Daphnia pulex: one gene and its partner. The protein of the gene in region 1 interacts with the protein of each later gene in a pairwise test. Links are inferred from orthologs where the notes say so. Each region holds a gene or a part of one and is shown in the gene's direction. Other genes may lie near its edges.

Region 1 (4,644 bases):
AATTGCTTGAAGACCGAAGGCGCCGATTCTTGATCTCTGTGTACATATCCTACAACAATAAACAACAATATTACCGAGATATCTCCCAACGAGATAATTTGATGATTTATTACTTGGTCGTTCATGGAAGTCTGGTATCGCGACACTTTTTTTTTCTTTGCTTTATTGCGTTTTCGGATTTGTGCACGTCTGTTAGCGATCTGACGAGCATCTTCCTCGTCCTCAATGTCTTGATCTACTTCTTCTTGACGTTTTGGGACGAGATTACGTAGACGTCTAGTATGCATTCGGTCATTTCCTTCTGCTGCTGTGTCTTCTTCTTTGATTGCAGCAGGATATCCCTAAAAATTCAGCAAGTGTAAATCTTATAACTCTAGTCATGAGAAAAATTCATAACACTAACCTTGACATTTTTTTCAGCAAATATCCAACTGTCGTTGTAAGTGTACATTTGTCTTTTTGCTCTCTGGCTCCTGCGAACACCATCATGACTTTCATCATGCTTCTCAGTTTCACTTTCTGCAACAGAAATCTTTCTTTGGTTTGTACTGTTTACTTCTTCATCGTGACTTTCTTCTGCACTGTTGAGCTTTGCTTCTGCTTCCTGTGAAGTTTCTTCTGGTTCGACCAAGACTAGCCTCTTTCTCTTGCCTCCTCCACTTTTCATCACTTGACGTTTTGACAATGGAGTATCCTCTGAAGAAATTTCGTTGACAAACTGGCCTCTTCTAGAATTAGATCTTGATGAACGCTGACCAGTCTGGAAGCAGAAAAAATTATTGAAAAAAACACTACTATGCCTATTGAAAATGTTTTCTTACCAAAACTGGTGACATGTTGGCACGATCTGCTGAAGGAGTTCGCTTCATTTGAAGAGCTGAAAGGGGCCGAAAGGGTACTTTACACTCACTCTGCTCATCTTTGCTCGAAGAGGAATCTTTTTCAGAAGAATTGTCATCGTTCATAGTTTCTTCATCATCATCCTCTTTGTCCTCACTATCTTGACAGTTTGCTCCGTCCGAAACATTAGGAATTTTACCTCGGGTAAGCATTTTAAAATTTACCTTAAAAAACTATCGCACTTGTTATGACAAGTCGTTATTGACACGCTTAGTGAGTTAATCGTAATAAACCGCCAATTCTTTTAGGACAACAAAAGCTCAACTTCACTTTTTCCACGGTTTAACGAAAAGGAGGAAGGTTAACGAAGCTTGTTCTGACCACGACCTTTAATCGGCGCAAAATGGTGGCTCACATTTAAATTTTCAAAAGAAAAAATGAAAAAACACAGAAGAACTAAACTGTTCTCTAGGAGAAAAGTTGCTCATTTCTCCAAGAAGATCAACTCACGATTGCTTTTTAACTGAAATCCCAACGTAATTGTCTAATTCGATAATAATCAAGCGCTTTTCCGAGACACAAAAATACAATAACATAGTGATCTTCAGGAATAAAATAGTACGCAGGGATTTCCTTAGAATGACACTAGAGGCGCTGCGGATAGCCTAGGCTGGGATCCAGGGAAAAGATCGAAGTAATGTCTGCTCTGTGTGTAATGGGCAAGGCAAGACGCTTCGTCCAAGAATGGCTTAAAGACTTGTTGTACATTTATTAGTTGCGTTTGTTTGGTGAAATTTTTCTGTTTTGGACCAAATTGCTAATGTAAGTACCTATCTACTATCAAGAATCAAAATCATCGTCGTTTGAATTCTCATATTCGTACCGGAGAAGGGGATGGGCGTTTTTTGGCAGCACTCACAGGAAACAGCATGCTAGTGGAAATATTATTATGGCAAGGGAAAGGGGAGGGGAATGTTTAGTAAACCTGCAATCAAATTCTTTTAGATATGTTTATTCTTTAAGGTTACTTTTCTATAGAAGGGTGTTTAGTTGCCATTTCCTTCTTAGGCTGAAAGTGAACCTGATAGATCAGGAAATGGTTGGTTGAACTCAATTAATGCACCCACACAATAAGAATGACAGCACTTCCTTTCTATTTCTTACTAACCTGAATTTGAATTCTTTCTCAACAGTGTTCTACAAGCTTCAAAATGACTGAAGATGATATTTTGTTTGATGAAGCTTACGAGTTACAAGAAGTTATTTGGAGGTAAACATCATCATTAAACTTTATCATTTTCCCAATAATTTTTTGTCATTAAATTAAATTTCAGGGGTTCATGCAGTGTTATTAGGCGCTGCACCCACCGGTTAACAGCACAACATTTTGCTGTTAAAATTGTTGATGCAGCCAAATTTACTGCCATTCCGTCACTCACACTTGACAGTATGTTTAAATGTAGATTTTTAACTTTACTAATCCCTAATTATTTCAAATTATTTTTAGATCTTAAACTTGAGGCCACCATATGCCACATGCTTAAACACCCCCACATAGTAGAGTTATTAGAAACCTACAGTTCTGAAGGAATGGTGTACATGGTGTATGAATTGTAAGTTTTTACACTCCTGCTTGTACATATGGGTAATGATTGACTGAATCTATTATTTTTAAAAAAATTAGGATGGAAGGAGCTGATTTGTGTATAGAAATTGTTAAACGTGCCACATCTGGTTTTGTTTATAGTGAAGCTGTAGCAAGGTAACCTAATTTACCTTCTTAAACGTAAGTTGGAATTACATTAACCTTTGGTTGGTTTGTTTAGCCATTATTTTCGTCAAGTGCTTGAGGCACTCCGTTACTGCCATGATCACGACATTATCCATCGAGATTTACGACCTCACAACATTTTGCTTGCAAATAAAGAAAATTCGGCGCCCGTAAAACTAGCGGGTTTCGGATGCGCTAAGCGTCTTACTGACGAAGATGTGGTGACATCAGGTCTGATTGTTGATGTTATGTTTTCCCATTCAATGTACAGTATTAGTTCAAGTATTAATTTTGTATAGGTCGATTGGGAGATAGCTTCTATATTAGCCCTGAAATGGCTTTAAATCGACCGCATGGCAAAGCGTCGGACATATGGAGTGCAGGAGTATTGCTCCATATTCTGCTGTCTGGAACACAACCTTTTTTGGGGACAGACGAATCCTTGAGATACACCATCTGCAGTGGCGAGCTGCACGTAAGTGGACATCGTAAATTTATTTCAAGGCCTTCTAGCCTAGATCCTTCTAAATTTGTCCGCATTTTTCCTGGGCAATTTTGCAGTTCGATGCTCCAGTCTGGGGAGCCATTAGTGACCACGCAAAGGATTTACTGCAGCAGCTTTTGTGCGTCGACCAAAACGATCGTCTATCGGTTCACGAAGCTTTGGAACACCGGTGGCTCAAGGTGAATTTTGAATTTTTCCTTGCCTTTGTGGACGTGACCAATGCAAAACCTGCTTTGACTGCTTGATTTGTATTCAGAATCGAGACAAGTGCGCCTCCAGAGACCACCTCCACCTCACCGTAGAAGAGATGCGCATATTCAATGCTCGTAGGAAGCTCAAGAGTTTGATCGTGGCCACGGCAAATTCCATCAAATGGGGGCATCCTTCTTTAGATCCCAACTGCGACGCCTTTTCCGATATTGATGAAGATGAATCAATATCCAACAGTAAGTCACGCACTATTTTAATAGTGACCTACGGGCTTTTAAATAGATTATTTTTCGATTCCCCTTTGGAGTTGCATGAATGTTTGCGGGGATATTGTATGTAGCAATTACGTCAGTTGGTGGATGTGTAGCAAGAGGGCGTTCGCAGGAACAAGAGAATTTGTGGAAACCGGATACCGTGAACTTCAGCTAGCTTTATTTAGATTTATTTCTCTTCATAGATTTGCACGACCAATCTTGATAACTTATTTTTAATTTTAACTTGCAATACGTGTTCCTCGATAAATCGGTGCCGTAATACGCAAAAATCCAATTCTTTCCAACCTTGGATAATAGTTGAGTTTTTGTTCAAACGAAATGCTAAATTTATCGCTCGTAAATTTCTTTCCGAACCATATTGAGTCGCTTTTATTTCCAACCGGGGGAATCCCATATGGTAGTCGTCTCCGGTTTCCATTTGCGGTTTAAGAGTTGTGGCTGGTTTACTCCATTGAAGAGGATTCCGCTAGTAAAAAAGGCTTTCATTGACGGACGGGGGGATCACATCCGCTCTTTTATTGGGGGATGGCTTTCGTCCTGATTGGATTTCATTGATTGGCACCTCTTGTTGGATGCCTGCCGAATGAAAGGAGAGCACATTGCAGGAAATTTACTTTTTATTACTTTGATACCAAGTAAATAAAACTTTAACACGTGAAAGCTTAAAGTTGGGTTTATTTTAAAATAGAAGTGTGCCCGCTAATTGATCGAATTCCTTTTTACGGATTATCAGCATACTGCATTTCACGCGTACTAAAATGGTTTTCTAGTATCCCTTCAACATGCTTTCGTGTTTTAAAGGATGCTGGTTAAATGTTCATTTTTGTTGTTGTTGTTTCATTTCGTTAGATGCTGTCAATGCTGTCCTCGATAGTATTGACGAGATCCAGTTTCTCCAGGATACCCCATGGATTCAGCGGGATGTGGAAAGCATGCGACAAGTTCTTAATAGTTCCAGACTTCATTCACTCTTGACGGTAAGAAATGGGAAGAGTAAATGTTTATCAAAACTTGCCGTTCTTCTAACCTTTAGTTTCATTCTC
Region 2 (4,122 bases), on another chromosome or scaffold:
ATCCTTTGAGATCCCCTTAGTCGTCCTCAACATTTTTCAGACTGATAAAAATTTCCGGGAATCGGCTCCCAAGGCAACGGATGAAATAGAAACCAGGAAGTTTAAGAAAATCAAAATTTCGTTTTGTTTTTTCTTGACCGAGTATAATATTGGATATTTCTTGATTTTACCATCGTGAATAAAACATTGTCTCCCCTAGAGACGACAGTCTAATTTCATTTGCTCGTTTGATCCGGTGAGTTTGCATATTTCATCACTTCAGTAGATATGGCTTATTTCATGACGAGCCTGTGACGAGCGTATCTGCATTTTTCGGTGAGGGAGGGGGGCGCCCATCTTTCTCAATCTGTCAGTCCAGTCCGTCCGTTCGTCCGAATCTGGGAGAAACGGAGCGACAGCTGGGCGGTAGCAGCAGACATGTCCGCGCCTCGAGCGTTGATACACAGACACCCGAGATCGTCTCCGCGTTGACTCATATGCCAGTAGTGAAAACGAGGAGAGTTTGTCTCGAGCAACAGTCGCAGAAAGAGAGAATCTAAACTTAATAATCAAAGAACCAACAAGCGCATCAGCTGGATGGGAGACAGAGTGGAGAGGATAAGGACCTGCCGGGCTCGGCCAGCAACAGCCAAACAAAAACAACGGACGTCTGTCTGTATAAATAGACAGAAATGGCGACTTGTTTTTTTCTGAACCAAAAGAAAGTAAAAAAGAAGAAACTGCCGCCTGGCTCGTCGCGTTGCCAAGCAACGGCGTGATAAAAAACACAAAAAAACAAAAACAAAAATCAAATAATCAAAAAGGCGAATCTTTTTTGGCATGTGATCCGGTTGTTGGCGGTTGGTGAGAGGAGCGCATATCAAAGTGACGGAAGCAACTGCATCTCTCACTTTGGTCTTATATAACGAGACCAGTTGAACTTTGACGGCGCCGATTAAATCGCATCAGGGAAATTGGGCGCCCAATTTGATTCGATGACTCTGATGCGAGTGATGTTGTTGATGTTATACACATATAGTATACCCGGTAAAATGCTCTCTGACGTCTATGATAATTAGCCGGGATTGTGTCATTGTGCGGAATCAGATCAATGGCTAACGGGAAGAAAAGGAGCCCCAAAGTTTAGACAACAGGCTCTAGCTCTCTCTCTCCTGTACTCTATAGAAGCGCAAAGTATGCGATGCATGAATGAACAATATTAGACACAAAAGGAGTTATTATATACACACACATACTGTGTATAGAGTGTGTGTATGTGTGGGATATGTATACATATATACTCTGGTCGCCATGGAGTCGGAGTCACGGGGGTTGTTGCCTTTTCAAGTGAAAAAGGCCGAAACTTGATCAATTCAAGGGTGTGTCCGCCGGTGAATGAAAACGGAAACTCGAACTATTATGCAGTCGCACAACTGTTTTCTATCGTGACGTATGAGAGCAGAGCCCCAGCACCAATTAGCCCTTGCGGCCGTGCTGCGCCGTTACGTAATAACACGCGCGGCACACGGAATCAGTCTGTAATCGACTGTACTATATATAATAATAATAACGCTATCGTTCACCCCCTATTGAATTGGCGCCTTTAACTAATTCGATTTTTGTTCTCTTTTATACTCAATTCCGCTGCTGCTATGCTACGTGACACTGATGGATTGGATTTTCAATTTCGGGGCTCATCAACGTGGACTGGCAGCCGACAGCAGTTTCCTCCTGGCTAACGCTCAAATCGTCGACTATCCCATCGTCTATTGCAACGAATCCTTCTGCAAGATCTCTGGCTACAACCGAGCAGAAGTGAGTTCCGCTGTCTGTCCAATTCTTATTCAATCGTCTGTATATATAAGATGCACCAGATAGATTGCTGCCGCGCTTGTAGACTGCTATCCGTCTAATAAGATACAACAGCGCTTGTTATACTACACCCGTAGATTTCCACTTGCCAAAAATAGCTAGAGAGAGAGAGAGAGAAAGAGAGAAAAATTGAGAGGGGCGAGTTCTTTTGACTCTCTATCGATTATCGAAGAAGCCTAACAAATAATAAGAGAGCTATACACAGTACTAATGCATGTACCGGTAGTGGCATATAGCGTACAAGCTATACTGCTGCCATACTGGAAGATGAAGCACATCAGCAAATGCTAATGATTTTTGTATGTGCTCTCTCTCTCTCTCTCTGTCTGCTTTCGATCGATGCATCGATCCAGAGCTTGTTGGAAATGTTCTTGTTTTGTTCACACACAAAAAGAAATGAAATCCCCTCAAAAAAAAAAAAATTTCTGAATGTGCACAGGTGATGCAGAAATCGTGTCGCTGTTCGTTCATGTGCGGCGAGATGACGGACAAGGAGACGATCCAGCGGGTGGACGAGTGCCTGGAGCAGTACACTCAAGACCAGTTCGAGATTTTGCTCTACAAGAAGAATCGTACGATCCTTTTTGATTATTTCCATTTTTCAGATTTCTACCACTACACAAACATTTTGAGACTTTTGATATAAATGTATATAGATTTTCCCTTTTGTGGTTTTGGTTTGGGAGAGGACATTATCAACCTCTGGGTTTTGCGTCCTCTGTTAACATTTTTTGAAGGCCATGAATTAAATATAGGGTGGCATGGATGGGGGAATATACATACTATACAGGGAAATGAAAATAATGCCTCGGCGTAATATATTTCAGTCCCTACACAACAGGAGAAACTTGGTCTTTTCTTTTTGGAAAGGCAAAAGAAAAGAATAAAATAGCCGCCGTCCAAATTGGATGGTTGTATCATTTCCCTCGGGGTGCGGACTTGTTTGTTTTGATTAGCCAACGGAGAATCAATTTTTTGTTCTTTTTTTTCTTATTCGACAAATTTCGTAGTACATTTTCCCTCATCTTTGAATAATCATCTAGTCGTAGTATATTTATACCTTTATAGTTTTCTATGGAGGGAAATATTATTTTGTTTTTCGGGCTGTGTATATAATTGGTCGTTATCGGGGCTGCAGGTTCTCCGCTGTGGCTGCTGTTGCAGATAGCGCCCATTAAAAACGAGCGGGACGTCGTCGTTCTCTTCTTGTGCACTTTCCGTGACATCACCGCCCTCAAGCAGCCGCTCGAGAGTGAAGAATCCAAAGGTAATGCCAGCCATCTTCTTCTTCTTCTTTTTTTCCTGCCAAATTTTCGTTTTCTTCTCTCTTGCCTCAAGGGGGGTTTCTTCTTTCAGCCTATTATATTTAGAATGCTATCCATAATATAAGGCCGTCTACTAATAAATATTACATATATATATATACCTGTGGAAAGAAAAGGGGGGCAGACAGACAAGTACATAAGCAGAAAGCAACAGCCCAAATCAGCCTCATGCAACGTATGAGCAAAAATCAAATCTGAAAGAAGAAGAAGAATAAAAAAAAGCCTTGGGAAATCGATATAGGTCGTCTGATATATATGTGCCTCATGCTCCATACCAGTAAGAACAAAAAGAAAGTCTTGGTTATATAGAATATAATAGACGAAATACTAGACGACGCCACGTAAGTATCGAATGCCCAATACGTCGGGCTATAAAAACATAGATATAGACTGCTCAGATGATGATTATGTATTGCACCGTGTAATACAAGATCCTAGCATGGAGATCCTATTTATAGCCGTATATCCAACATCAAATAAGTTGAAATCAATGTCACATCCAATCATCAGGGCGCCGTATATCATAAATATCTCAATTTAATTCCCAATTTCTTTTCTTATTTTTTGGTTTCCTTTTGATTTTATCCGTGGGCTGCTGCTCGTGATTTACGAACTCCGGAATTGTGTGGGCGTTTTAAAAAACCCCATCAAGGTCTGAGCAAGTTCGCCAAACTGGCCCGTTCGGTGACACGGAGCCGGACCGTTTTGGTCTCGCAATTCTCCTCGCACATCCCGGCCGCTGCCAACACCAAGGAAGTGGCTGCCATCAATAAGCAGTCCAACTTTGCTCACGTAAGTTCTTCATTTTCCCTTTTTTTTTTGAAATAAATGGGAAAAAAATAAACAACCGGGCCATCAGGGGCCGCATCAACAGAAAAGTGGTAGTACAACAAACAACCATAAACACGTCTCGACAACATATCAATACCGTGTAACTATGGCAAAC

What was found.
Region 2: the proteins of peripheral plasma membrane protein CASK-like (region 1) and potassium voltage-gated channel protein eag-like interact in binary tests that used the Drosophila melanogaster proteins (3 or more experiments, as listed by UniProt). The link is inferred for Daphnia pulex from reciprocal best matches to the Drosophila melanogaster genes CASK and eag.

The regions. Positions count from the first base shown.
Region 1 is NC_060018.1:1,069,320-1,073,963, forward strand, and holds the start of peripheral plasma membrane protein CASK-like, read left to right. Parts: upstream 1-1,517; 5' UTR 1,518-1,662; intron 1,663-2,033; 5' UTR 2,034-2,051; coding exon 2,052-2,110; intron 2,111-2,174; coding exon 2,175-2,287; intron 2,288-2,347; coding exon 2,348-2,453; intron 2,454-2,524; coding exon 2,525-2,602; intron 2,603-2,666; coding exon 2,667-2,842; intron 2,843-2,910; coding exon 2,911-3,086; intron 3,087-3,172; coding exon 3,173-3,295; intron 3,296-3,372; coding exon 3,373-3,562; intron 3,563-4,450; coding exon 4,451-4,578; intron 4,579-4,644. Other genes in the region: ATPase family AAA domain-containing protein 2-like, read right to left, coding at 1-49, 114-341, 404-760, 822-1,052.
Region 2 is NC_060017.1:2,828,370-2,832,491, reverse strand, and holds part of potassium voltage-gated channel protein eag-like, read left to right. Parts: intron 1-1,693; coding exon 1,694-1,794; intron 1,795-2,290; coding exon 2,291-2,423; intron 2,424-2,989; coding exon 2,990-3,118; intron 3,119-3,828; coding exon 3,829-3,968; intron 3,969-4,122. UniProt on the Drosophila melanogaster protein: Structural component of a potassium channel. Mediates the potassium permeability of membranes; potassium current is regulated by CaMKII and CASK. Has a role in growth of the perineurial glial layer of the larval peripheral nerve.